Linked DNA regions of Styela clava. The protein of the gene in region 1 binds, or shares a complex with, the protein of each later gene. Links are inferred from orthologs where the notes say so. Each region holds a gene or a part of one and is shown on either strand. Other genes may lie near its edges.

The links. Proteins that work in one complex are often made in the same cells at the same time.
Region 2: DNA-directed RNA polymerase III subunit RPC5-like (region 1) and DNA-directed RNA polymerase III subunit RPC4-like share a complex: the UniProt entries of both Homo sapiens proteins name them as parts of the RNA polymerase III complex. The link is inferred for Styela clava from reciprocal best matches to the Homo sapiens genes POLR3E and POLR3D.

Annotation. Positions count from the first base shown.
Region 1 is NC_135260.1:20,672,508-20,679,814, reverse strand, and holds the start of DNA-directed RNA polymerase III subunit RPC5-like, read right to left. Parts: upstream 3,022-7,307; 5' UTR 2,537-3,021; coding exon 2,501-2,536; intron 2,168-2,500; coding exon 2,039-2,167; intron 1,733-2,038; coding exon 1,528-1,732; intron 1,409-1,527; coding exon 1,289-1,408; intron 1,074-1,288; coding exon 913-1,073; intron 603-912; coding exon 518-602; intron 422-517; coding exon 257-421; intron 1-256. Other genes in the region: copper chaperone for superoxide dismutase-like, read left to right, coding at 6,427-6,450, 6,722-6,832, 7,273-7,307. UniProt on the Homo sapiens protein: DNA-dependent RNA polymerase catalyzes the transcription of DNA into RNA using the four ribonucleoside triphosphates as substrates.
Region 2 is NC_135255.1:8,600,491-8,607,758, forward strand, and holds DNA-directed RNA polymerase III subunit RPC4-like, read right to left. Parts: upstream 2,770-7,268; 5' UTR 2,637-2,769; coding exon 1,605-2,636; 3' UTR 507-1,604; downstream 1-506. UniProt on the Homo sapiens protein: DNA-dependent RNA polymerase catalyzes the transcription of DNA into RNA using the four ribonucleoside triphosphates as substrates.

The DNA.
Region 1 (7,307 bases):
AGGTATTACCCCTTGTTGCAACCACTATGGGTATAATAGAGATTGGCATTTTAACATGAAAAAATTGGGAATCTGTAAAATCCCATTCGAAAGAATAATGAATGGGTTGAAATTTCAACATGAAAATATAACAATTTTGAATTGAAAATATAATCTGAACGAAAAGCTCTTTTTTCATAAAATTTCCTCACATATCTAACCCCAAATAATGAATATTAAAAGATAAACTAAACCATACATCATATACTAATCATACCATTCTTCATTAGAAGTTTCAGTTGATCCCCTAATGTTTCATTTTTCAACAGAGATAAAGATAGAACATTGTCAGGTATTGCACTGTTATCAACTGAATGTTCATCATATACTGGAATTAGTTTGGTGAGGTATTCATGTGGTGTTTGTACCATTTCAGAGAAAGCTGTAAAAAGAAACATACGATACCGAGTCAGGCTGTATTCAAATCTCAGCAAAATTTAGAATTTCAAATCATTCAAAACAAAATTATAAATTATACCTGTAAGAGCTGGGCTTAATTTATCGTCAGGTTGTCTAGTGTTTTGGCAAATAAGTCTCTGTCTTTCTCTTTCTGCATAACTGTCCTTTAAAAATATGCAATAAGATTTCACATTATGATAAGAGAATTTTCCTGTTATGTCAAAAAAAAATTTAAGCCCTCTCAATATTGTGATAAATTGCAATTTGGTTAAAGAAACACATGAAATGTTTTGAAGCTATATTTTTGAGTTGTATTGAACTTTGGGCAAATACACAATAACTCAAAATTGTAATCTCTCCATTATGCAAATAACAGGAAAGTTTAATTAATAAATAGAAAATTGATTTCATTGGAAACCATCCATACCACATAATGTTCAAAACACATGTGCTCAATATTTGTAACTGTCTCACCAATTTATGGTGTACTTTAACTTCTATCCATTTTTCATCTGCAATTCTTTTTTCATAAGCAGCATAAGATCGTTCTCGAGCCAATCGAACTGCTTCTGATTCAGCTCCTTTCACTCGAACGGTTACAGCCTTAGCTTCTTCTGCCTCATCTTGGGACGAATCTTCCAAGAAAATTAGATATATCCTTATCATTTAATAAAATAACATCATAAGAAATAAAAAAAATATATAAAAACTTACATGAAGTTTAATACATACATAACTAAAATAATTTTAGCAGGCTAGCAATGTTTATTTATTTAGGATAGAAGACCTAGACCTTGTTCATTAACTGCTGCATATCCGTGGGAAATGTAGACATGAAAGTCATTATTACCTGCTTCGGCTGCAGCTTTGGCCTTTGCAGCTTGTGATGCTCTATGTTCCGCTCTATCCATATATTTAAAACTTGGCTTAAGTTGCATGACATGAGATATTGGAGTCAGATGTACCTCATCTATAAAAATGTCAAGTAATTTTAGTGGTTTCTTAATCTTTTATTTGATTTCTTAATAGATATTTAAAGTAAGATAGTAGAACATGGCTGTAACTTTCACCAAGAAAGACTAGGTTTACCATGTTGAACAATAGCAGATACATATCGTTTTCCTCTCGCTGGCACGCAGCTTGATTGTAACGTCTGTCTGTCCATAACATTTGTATCGAATGTGGTTGATGCTTGTATTGTTCCGACATTTCCATCAACATTCAATGCAATCTGCTCTCCTTTGCTTTGGTCATAGTTTGGACTGCTGATGTCAAGTGATACATCCATTTCAATCTGGATAATGGAAAAAACAAAGTGAGATATGGTGCTCACAACAATTAGTAAAAAGGAACGTGTCTCCTTATGTGACAGTTTTGAAATTTTTTTTAGATGTTCTATTGCAGCTAACTAAGGCATACAAAGATATCTATCAACATTTCTCCATTAACAAGTTTGACTTTGCACATCAGCAAGCTTAACATGAAATTACACCCAGTTAATAATTTTAACAGAATAACCTGACTGGTTATTAACCAAAGTTAGCATAAATTTTTGATAAAAGACCTGCCAACGATAAGGAAAATTAAACAGTGAATTTACTTTATTATTTTGTGGTTTGATTTTGGCCGTATCTCGATCCTGAGACCCATATTTTCGTTTTACACTTTGCACTGGATATTGCAGCAAGTAAAGGCGTCCAGACAAGCTTTTGGACAAATAGACATCAAACTGAAACAATAAATTTAGATTCATTATTAGGGTCCATTGTATATACAGATTGATCCTATGGTCCAATATAGTTCATTTCCAAAAGAAATGAAAGTACAGAAAAATCAACAAGAACTTAGATTTGAATTACAATAATATGTCGAGTAACATAGTGCATAATTTTGCAAAATTTCATCAAGCCTATGCATAGAAAATTAGAATGATAGATATTTCGACAGTTGACTAACTTGAGCCAAATATATTGGTGACAGAATGAATGAAATATCCATCCATTAACTGCATTAAGCGCTTCCTGCATGAAATTTTAATTATATCACCAAGAGTAAGACCTACCTCTTTCACAACTTCATCTTCTGTGGTGGTTTCCATTATCCTGTCATCTGACGATTAATCTTAAACTCTAACCACAAAACCAAGATTAAGATTGTTTGCCCTTATATCAGTATATTGTTACACAATTCAGCAGTTACAGAGTTTTGGAAGGTCTGTCAGTATGTGACAAAAAATGCATGAAATAAGATATTGAAAGCAATATTTAAAATCTGAAAATCCAAACGTACGGTAACGTCGCCGTGCTTTTGAGCGGCCTTGAGCATGGACTACCCGTACTGGGCACAGATACAAAATGAGGTCTGCATCATGTGTAGGGCTGCTACTTTTGTCTGACTAAAAACATTTAGATTGACCTCGAAAAACATCTAGATTGAAAAATAAAACATCTAGAAAATACATCTAGATGAAGTCATTAAATTTGATGAAAATCGACGAAACAAGAGCATACAAAGTTTGGGGCTCCCGAAGTATGCGAACCAAGATGGCGGACATCGGAATGTAATATGTGTACTAGGTTAGGGTTAGGCCATAATTTTAGGTATAAATACTACGGGAGGCTCTTGGCTAGTCTTCGAACTGATAATTTAATAGGACTAAAATAAGGAAAATTGGAAAAAAATTATCGCCTAACCCTAACCTGTTACGTTCTGATGTCCGCCATCTTGGTTCGCATACTTCGGGAGCACCCAAAGTTTAATATATTACATAGGATTAGATGTGGGAGAAGCTAACATCTGTTGATATTGTCACTTCAGAGGGGTTTTTATGAGTTTTTGCTGTACATATTTTTTTGACAACCAAATCAGCAACTTATAAGAAATGCAACATTCAGTAAATCTGTCTTTACAGCTTTATGCTCTTTCTCAGTTTATTTTTGTATGGTTCATAGCACTTTAAAGTAAAGAAAGGCAAATTCAATAGCATTTAAATAACTTTAGGCTATCATTTTAAAATTCTGAAGTGAGCAACTTGAACTACCGAATTATTCTCACCACCTGGCAACAATACAAATATACAATACTAAACATTGATTCATCGGACCAACGTCCACCTTTCTATTAAATTATGTAACTGAAACGTCACATGTTCTAAACATGTTTAATTCGTTATTCGAATAATTTAATTACATATGGTACCGTACCCGTACCGGTAGACGAATACAATTTAATGATAGTCTACATCAATATATTTAACTTACTTCTAAGTCTGTAATTAATGAAATAATATTCATTCACATATTACTGCAGTACCGGTACTGTATTACAGTACGGTACCGTATTAGTCTATACACATCGTTTTATTTATTTCTCACTGGATAATATTCGGAACGTCGAAAAAAAACATCTAGACGCCAAATTTTACATCTAGATCTTGATATAAAACATAGAGTGGCAGCCCTGAATTCACAAGATCACGTGGAAACACCGCCAACAGTCGGACAGCACGGTAACATCTGAACATGTGTGTCAGTGTGTTGACAAGAAAAAAGCGAAAACAGTCATATCAGATCGCCGACAAAGGGTTGATTATCGAGAATGTGTTGCGAAAATACTGGCAGCGGTGGGATTCGAACCCACGCCATCGAAATGACTGGTGCCTTAAACCAGCGCCTTAGACCGCTCGGCCACGCTACCAAACCGCTCTCCCCAACGTTGAGAAGACAGTTCGTCATTCCGCCTATCGCCTCTTGGAGGGAGGGGGGGAATTAGTCTGGCGTATCAAAATTTCGCTTTTGTTGTTTCCTGAACTTTGAGGTCAAATCGTGTTTCGAGAGCAAGCTAACATACAACCATGGTTAACTGAATAGATACAACGATGTTCCGACCGTCGTCGGGTGCGGCCGTGGATACTTGAAAACACTAGAGCAGGGTGGTCCAAGGTTGCCGGCTCCGCGGGCCACAAAATTATTTTTGCATTGTTTGCGGGCCACAATAGTGCATAAAAAATAGGTAAACAGTGCAATGCAAAACAAACCCTTTTATTGTGCAAACACTTAGTTATTAGACATATAGCCATCCCAGGCTAATAGAATCTGCGTTCGATTTTTAGTTTTCTATGATGCATATATTGTTAGCATATATTCCCGACCAAAAAGATGGAAAGCTAGACAATAATTTAGACTGCCAAGCACATTATTCAACTTCGCTAGTTGCCTCAGCTGGCCATAACACTAGTCAATTCAGTGACATTAGTGATGTAACCGTAAATATATACTATGTAACAACATATCAAAAAAATTTTCTGATTAATTTTATTACGAAACAACACGGAGTGCGATTTTTTCATTACTCTTCGAATGCGACGCGGGCCACAGATAATGAAGCCGCGGCTAATATGTGGCCCGCGGGCCTGGGTTTAAACCACCCTGGACTAGAGAATGCTACGCACTGTGTGTTTCGTTATCTACAGTTGGATTTGTATCGCGTAATATCAACATGATCAAAGCCCAACCACCGGAATTAAAGAAGTTTATTGATAAAAGATTGGATTTGAGGTTAAATTGTGGACGATCTGTTAGAGGTGTTTTGCGAGCTTTCGATCCTTTTATGAATCTAGTTGTGGATGATGGAACAGAGCGCAGATTGTTGTTATACATGTACACGTCTCACATTTTAAAATTGAATTAGAAGGTATTGCCCGATTTTACATCGTGTTTTTGTTTTATTAAAATCTTTTGACTGTTTTTGGTGGACGGGCACGTACTTGTACGGTTTTACCTTTTTTATTAAGTTATGCCCGTTCTCCAGATCCTCTGCATTTTGTTTGTCCGTTTGTTGTTTTCTTTCAGAGTGACCGAAATAAAACTGATGTGTCCATATATTTGAGCATAGCTTTCTTGTTTCTGTAACGGTGACCAACCAGAAAAAAGTCAACGATGCATAACAATTGAAATTTTTAATCAATCATTTTATTTCGGTACTGACATAAACAACACAAAAAACATAATAGACAAATGTACGATGGTAATGGGAATATATGTTGTAGTGATAATTAATGTAATGAATATTGTTGTAGCACATATTTAAAAATAATGCAGAGATAGAATAAAGTTAAAAACGTACAAGTAGACTACGTGCCCACCTACCAACAGAAAAATACACAAAATAGTGAAAAACATGTGATTAAGATAAGCAGTCGTATCGCCTCCCTCAGAATAAATATTACCTAAACTAGCTAGTACGTATAAGCGACACGTTGTTGTATATTTTAGTGAAAATAATGAGTATGTAAATCAGTTTGTAAGTGTCAACTCTTCGTGTCAAAACGATGAGAACAAAAAGTGTCAAAACGTTTGCAAAATAGGCATCCAAAATTTTGCTATAGTAAAGTTATGTTAATCGTTGAGTATAGGAAAGATTATTCTGGGATCAAGCGTCGGGGAAACAACCATATACATGCGGGCAAATGGACGTTTCCCCGGCCCTTGAAAATACTTTTATCATCGCAAAATTTTTAAATATGATTTTGAGAGCGTTTTAGAGAGTTTGCGCTCTCAAACTGGTTCACATGTTTAAAACTATCATTTTAGTTCAAAACAATAAACAAGACCGGTATCTGAGCGGAAGAAGTGTCTGAACAGTGGGATAAATTCCCACGTCATTGTGAACTTATTGATGATTTGTTATTGTTGTGTAAATAAACAAGAAAATCGATGCTCGGATATACATTCATTTCAAAAGCCCCGAAGTTTTATTTTATCTAACTACTTTTCGGTCGTATATTTAGGCACTTATGTTAAATCATCAGTTGTAATTATTTACGGTTAAATCGTAAATATGGTTAAATAAATAAATGAGGTATCGACACGCCTCAACGACCTTTGGTTGCGCAATACCAGAACCGATTTCTGGTTCACATTCTAGTGAGAAAGGAGGCGAGAACACTTCATCGCGGTACAATAATATCATCAATAACACTGGGGTACAATGGAGCATGATTCTGTCGCAAAGGTAAATTTCATTACGGTATTACCTATTATGTTATTGAAATTCCTCATTTCAGGGAGATGAATACAGAACAAAATTTTATTTCATTCAGATGGGCTATTTGTGCATTAAAAGACTAATAACTCTGCGCAGGTTAGAATTATGTAAGGAAAAATTAATTGCAGAAGATTCCTGAAATCCTTGTTGTCATAGAGTGGTTACTGTATCGCTTCCTCATCATCATTTCTCTCTCTTCTGCCTTTAGGTTAAAAATCATATTCTGCTCTTATTTCAGCTCGAGTTTGTTGTCTCAATGACTTGTAACACTTGCGTGGAAAAGGTAGAGAAAGTGCTTTCTGGAAACTCCAAAATAATCGGATCCAAGATAAACCTCAACATCCAGCAGGTTGGCTAATTATAGCAAGGAGAATATAAATAACTATAAGTTTGAATCAACACAACCTTATAAAGACTTACTGTGTAAATAACCAGATATGGGGCATGTTGCAGTCTTCAGCTTCATTACTGTAATTTCCCTAGTCATATTCTTCACGAAATTTCTATGGGCTTCCGCATTTCAAATATTCTATTAAAACTAAGACAGTGTTACAGTCACTATTGAATTTGGACTGAAAGTTATCTTGGATTCAGTTTTCAAGTTGTAATAATTCAAGTTTATGTTTCAACATTCCCTATTTCATGAGCATTGTCCATGTTTAAAAATTGATAGTAGCCTACAATAATTACAAAATGAATTTTAAACTATTTTATTCAAACAACAATCTCCTTTCACAAACAGTAGTGCTGATAAAAAGACACATTTTTGTGACTATATTTATTCACTAGGTAGTTGTTGACACAGCACTGCCTTTCGAAGATGT
Region 2 (7,268 bases), on another chromosome or scaffold:
ATCTAAAAGCAAAAGTACATTTTAAGAAGTTTATTATTTCTCTTCCTAAGCATTATTTTTGTATCAACTTCTACCAGTCAATACTATTGTTTGTGTAACAGTTTCAGAATATGAAATAATAATAATTTTGTCTTGGGATTTTTCCTTTTCAGTGTCTGAACTTGCTGTAAATTTATGCTTTGCGCAATAAAGTGATATAAAAGAGCTGTAAATTTATGCTTTGCGCAATAAAGTGATATAAAAGATTAATTGCCTCATGTTAGTCAAATGTGGCTCTTGAAACCATAATGTTAAAAACTATCACTTTCCCATTGATACAAGACTTTGATTGATTTGAAGAAATAGACAGGAAGTTAACAAAGTGCAATTTAAAAAATTATCTTTCATTCCATTACATCTGAAAGGTGACTCATAACATCTATTTTGACTGAAGATTCCTTTGCCTAAAAAATTGAACTATAATCACTCAATTCCACAGATACAAATATTACTGTAAGTCATATGCGTACTCAGCATTTCATTTTTAATTTAATGTCATTCTTACTTTAAAAATTTAAACAAATATAAAATAATAATGAAGCGAAGCCTAAATAGGATCATTACAGTAGTTTTGTGTTATTTTAAATATTGACTCAATAATGTCTAGAAAAATAATTCATGTTTGGGTTTGCCTTATTAAATGCTCCATATCAGGAGTACAAATTATTATATTCGAAATATTACCTAAAACAGTCATATGTCCCTGCGCAGAATCCTGGCCTTCAGGTGGTAAACGTACGGACACAAGTTCTTCCTGAAATGACGAATGAGTCCCTTTGGTCAGATCCAGTATTATATTTCCCAATAACAGTCTACATTTACCGGACTTCATTACCTGAAGTTTACCGACACAGCCTTCTGATAATTCTTCCAGTGTACAATGTTTATTTTCCGCATTTGCAACATCAAGACCGGGTTCCTGTTTTACTTTTCCAGGTTCTATTTTAATTCCGGGCTCAGTTTTAATGTGTGTATCAGTGGAAGGTGGTACAGCAGGTAGAGTTATTATTTCTCTTCCTAAGCATTATTTTTGTATCAACTTCTACCAGTCAATACTATTGTTTGTGTAACAGTTTCAGAATATGAAATAATAATAATTTTGTCTTGGGATTTTTCCTTTTCAGTGTCTGAACTTGCTGTAAATTTATGCTTTGCGCAATAAAGTGATATAAAAGATTAATTGCCTCATGTTAGTCAAATGTGGCTCTTGAAACCATAATGTTAAAAACTATCACTTTCCCATTGATACAAGACTTTGATTGATTTGAAGAAATAAACAAAGTTTGCTTACAATTTTAAAAATTATCTTTCATTCCATTAGATCTGAAAGGTGACTCATAACATCTATTTTGACTCGAGATTCCTTTGCCTAAATAATTGAACTATAATAACTCAGTTCCACAGATACAAATATTGTACTCAGCATTTCATTTTTAATTTAACGTCATTCTTACTTTAAAAATTTAAACAAATATAAAATATTAATGAAGCGAAGCCTAAATAGGATCATTACAGTAGTTTTGTGTTATTTTAAATATTGACTCAATAATGTCTAGAAAAATAATTCATGTTTGGGTTTGCCTTATTAAATGCTCCATATCAGGAGTACAAATTATCTTATTCGAAATATTACCTAAAACAGTCATATGTCCCTGCGCAGAATCCTGGCCTTCAGGTGGTAAACGTACGGACACAAGTTCTTCCTGAAATGACGAATGAGTCCCTTTGGTCAGATCCAGTATTATATTTCCCAATAACAGTCTACATTTACCGGACTTCATTACCTGAAGTTTACCGACATAGCCTTCTGATAATTCTTCCAGAGTACAATGTTTATTTTCCGCATTTGCAACATCAAGACCGGGTTCCTGTTTTACTTTTCCAGGTTCTATTTTAATTCCGGGCTCAGTTTTAATGTGTGTATCAGTGGAAGGTGGTACAGCAGGTAGAGTGTCAGGTAACTGAAATATAAGAACGTCTGTTGGATCCTTTGCTTCTTGTTTAAAAGCACTGCCAAGAAAAACATTACTGCATTCAATTGAAGATTCCGGATCGTTCATAGTCTGCTTTGATATGCCTGCTCCAGGCGGCCACAATGATGAGAACATAGGAAGAGATGTTGGCATCAGAGAATCGTCGTTTTCTAAATCAGCAATGAATAAAGAATCCCCCTCTAAATTTTTCAATGCTTCTTCAGTCTTTGATTTCTCTAAATCTTCATCGAATATTTCCTGTTTTATACTTGGTTTTTCAATTGCATCTTTTGATGCTCCTCCACCACCTCCCGTCCCAAAACCTGCATCGTTACGTTTTGCCACAGGTTCTGCACTAGGTCCCGCTTCAAAGATAGAATGTGATTGAATAATTTCAGGTCTGCCCCTGCCACGCCCCCTACCTCTTCCTCTTTGTCTATCCCGTCTGGAGCCATCCTTTTTTGATCTTGTTGAAACTTCATCTGTCTTTTGTTCTTGCTTGCTTCTCTCTTTTCTCACTGGGATGTTAGGAGTAAAAGTCTTTTTCCTGACACCACCAAGGGTTAGATCCCTTGGACCACGCAGAGACGGTAAACGTCCAGGGCGTTCAGTTGAACGCGGCATTAGTGCTAGTTTTATTTCAGTATTATTTTAATTTAAGGTTTGGGACTCAATGTTATGCAAATATCATTTATAAAGCATATTAATAATACTATATCAATTGTAATGAACACTGCAAAATATAGATATGAAACAAAATGATAAATATTATCTCAAAAGGAAAGGAAATAGGTCAATAGAGAAAACAACAACAGCTTAGAATCTAGCTCTAATATTTCCAGATAGAAAGGCTTTCTTAATTAATAATCATGGGTCACAAATTTATTAATATCATAGGAGTAGCAATAGCAACATTTGTTAAATTTAAAATACAACATCTAGCTAATGGAAGTCAGCCATCACTAAAGTAAATAATCATACAATTAGGTTGCACTGAATCAACCTAAAACAATACAATTTTCGAAATAAATTGATGGTAATAAAAATCATTTAGTAATAAATCATTATATAGCACTCTTAGATACCATAATTTGATAGCAAGAATCATGGAGATGAGATAACACTAATTTTTCCATATTCGATATCATGTAATGCGACAGTCTATAAATGTGGTATATTGCTCAAAACGACTTTTGAGCCCCTCAACTTTCAGTCATTAGTCAATAACTAGATATCCCAATAAATACAACTATGAATGTGTGCTGTCGCTCGGCAACTTGTTCATTGTTGACTAACCTCGGTGACCGAGTCGTACAATCATAGAATATTGATTATGCCTTAGCATTCATACAATTTTTTTCTTGAGAATCGCTAATTCACATTTAAACTCAAACTGAGTTTTACATTTGACTGTATGACAATAGATATAAGTAAATACGTTTATTTCCAAATTATATATAAATTTTTTTTTCAATTTTATTTAACATAAGTATAAGTTTATTTTGACTCCATAATCAGCATAACAGATGATAAAATAGTTGATAAAAACATTTAAAAAAAATTGACCGTAGCATACCGAATTTTGTTTATGTTATTTCTAACCCCCACCCTACTATGTCATCCATAAATTACGTCACTACGACGTCACAATCACGTCATAGAGCTTGCCATATATAGCTACCATCGTCCGAAATGGCATCTGCGCCGACGATACCGAACTCACTAACGCCAGCTGTCTCTCTCATATCGGGATCACTGCGACGAGAAAACGAGAGAAATAGCTTGCTCGATTTCGGGTGATCGTCTGCGCAATTTGGACAACCATCTGTACACTTGGGAGATATTTATTACGCCACTATTGTGTCTTAGTGACGTAATGTTTTGGTGACATAGTCAGGTGGGGGTTAGGAATGACATAATGCAAAAATTGTTGAGCCAGGCCATCTAGAAGTGCATGTGGTACTAAACTATACCGGACCCGGTTGAAGCGAGTGGAAGTGGTGACTCCTCTTCGGCCCATGGGCCGGGGCCACGACCCATCAAATTGGGCCTCGGCCCATCAGGCTATGGGCCGCGGCCCATCAAGTTGTGTAAAAAAACTATTCACTTGGCTAACACAAACAGTCCCCAAACTCATAATAGAACTATACTGTAAAAAATCTGAACAAAATTTTGCCCAAACCCTAACCTGGTACACATACTACAGGAGTTTATTTTTTGGTTCGAATATTGACAATTTTGTAAAAATTGAAAATTTTGGTAAGATAATTAAATTTTTCCTGGCGGGTGGCGGGGCCGCGGCCCATAGCTTGATGGGCCACGGCCCATGTGGCCCAATTAGATGGGCCGTGGCCCCGGCCCATGGGTCGTAGAGGAGTCACCACCCCTGTAGGTTGAAGCCTACAGAATTTAGGTTGGGTTTGCCGGAAATTAATTTACACTAACGCACATACAGGTACGGAGATATACTAAAATAAGAAAAAAAATTCCTTAATAAAAAAGAAAAAAAACTAGAAAATAAAATTGAATAAAATTTTGTGAATTATGGAATAGTAAAATAACATTTATTAGAAAGACATCGTCTAACTTATTTTTGCTGGGAGTCAAACATACCAAAAATCAGACATCGAATATGCCATATGTGATATAAATTTATTTCGACTCCATAATCAGCATAACAATAAAATGATTGGTAAAAATAAAAACTGATTATGAAATCAAGAGAGCAAACAAAACCTTAGATAAGATTTAAAACGTACAGAATGTACCGGTATATAAGATGGAAGTTTTGCCAAGAAGAAGCGGTGTGTGTTCACTCACCTTATGATAACGTATTTCAAATTTAAGAACTTTGTTCACGTTCCAAGGCAAACAAGGATTTACTTATTTATCCCGGGGGAAAGGAAAGCCGATAAGACGGCTTATTCATATGGCGAACTACGGCCTCTCGTCCGGTTACCATTCCAAGTCGGGTATGGGATTAGTTATATTGTTTGTTTTCGGAAGCATGGACTTGGCGGTGGGGGAAGCTGTACCCGACCAGCAGTTACGTGAACCACCCAACGACGGCGAGGAGTCCAACAATCCTCTCGTCCCTGCATGGGATTCGAACCTGCAAACCCACGCAGAGTAATTAGAGGTGCGGTGGCGAGCGTATTCGCCCGTTGAGCCACACCGCCGCGCCAAAGTATTATTATTTACTAGTACCGGTACAGTAAGGTCAAGTACCGGTACCTACCGGACTGTCCTACATGAATTCCAAACCATACCGGTACGGCGGGTACCGGTACCTCTATTGAATACGACATCCTGTACCGGTAAATGTAATAAACTTTAAAAGGTGGTATGTCATATGCCGCGCATGCTTATGGAAAATGTGGCACATAGCAATTGATTGTAAATAGACGTGATGGATGTTTCCCCGACCCTTGACCCCTCCTTATACTTTACTGTTGCAAAATGTTGTATCCTTATTTTAGATAGGATAGGATAGAATTTACATATTTATCCCGGGGGAGAGGAAAGCCGATAAGACGGCTTATCCATATGGCGAACCACGGCCTCTCGTCCGGTTACCATTCCAAGTCGGGTATGGGATAAGTCAAATTGTTTGTTTTCGGAAGCATGGACTTGGTGGTGGAGGAAGCCGTAACCGACCAGCGGTTACGTGAACCACCCAACGACGGCGAGGAGTCCAGCAATCCTCTCGCACATAACCATCCCTGCATGGGATTCGAGCCTGCGAACCCACGCAGAGTAATTAGAGGTGCAGTGGCGAGCGTATTCCTAACGCTTAGCCCGTTGAGCCACACCGTCGCGCCTTTTAAGACTGTTCAGATTCAGATTCAGATAATTTATTTTCGTCGTGCAAGAAACATTATGAACAACACAAGCATAGTAAATCAAGGCAAAAGAAAACAACAGACACATAATGTTTCGACTGCAATTAACGAGGAGCCGCGAAAGACTATCAAGTCATCGTGTCAGCGACACCATTAAAGCTGAATGACGTCAAAAAAACGTCAAATGATTAAGGTTGAGTTATATATGATCAGGGCAAAAATTTGGAAAACGTAAATCGAATCGAGAGAGTAAGCCAAATGAGAAAAGTTTAAATAAAAAGTATGAATGGAATCAAGAGAGTCGGGGAAGAAATGATTAATCTAGAATTAAGTTAGCTCAGGGGAAATTTAGAAAACGTAAATCGAATCGAGAGAGCAAGTCAAAAGAGAATGGTTTAAAAAGAAATGTGAAGGGAATCGAGAGAGAAATGTTTAAATGGGAACAAATATCCATCGTGTCGAGTAAAAGTCAGAAAAAACGCGTTTACGATAAATCAGTATGTCAGTCTCGCAGCGTCATGCTCGGGTGATCGCAATCACAATATGAAATTGTTGACTGGCAGGACGCTGCAGAAACTTAGCAACTGAAGGGGAATTCCCAGCAACCATAACAGGGGAAGCCGGGTTGGATTAAGTATCAGTACTGATACGGCAATATATAAATAAATAAATATATAAGTACAATTCAGACAGGAAAAACTGTTTTGATGGGAAAAGTTCATTCCACATGTACTTTGGGCAATGATGCGAACTCAGTGATAATGGTCGTGCTCTGTGAGGACAATAAAGAAAAATGGTGACAATGCCAATGGCATTAAGAGGTGAAAAAAGTCACGATCGTTTAGGTAAAATAGAGATCCTGGACCGAATGACCAGTTATAGAAAAATCGAGCCACACAAAAGGTGGGGGACATGGGTTGTATACGGTACACTACTATACTTATAAGGGATCTATACCACTTATTGAAGCAGACTAGAAGGATACATAGGAATCCAGGTAAAATTTTTTCAAAGCTTGTTTGAATGAATTGTAATTCATAATTCGAATGTTATCGGATACAGCATTCCATAATTTAACGCCTGTATATTTTATCGAATTTTGAGTACGTTTGGTTGAAAAATGAGTTACATAATAGGAACTACTGGCAGAGGATCGTGTTCTATAAGAATGCACGCTGCTTTGTTTCAAGAAATAATCAGTGAATGTAACAGGGAGTTTTTTGTTGTGATGTTGGTGCATCAATTTCAATATCTCTAATTTATAAATATCCACCATTTTAATAATACGAAGTTTATAATAGATTGGATCAAGTTGGGCATAAGGTCCACTGCCAGAGACAGCACGAATGGCCCTATTCTGCATTATTTCAATTTTGCGTAAAAGAGTTTTATCAGCGGAGCCCCATGCAGAAAT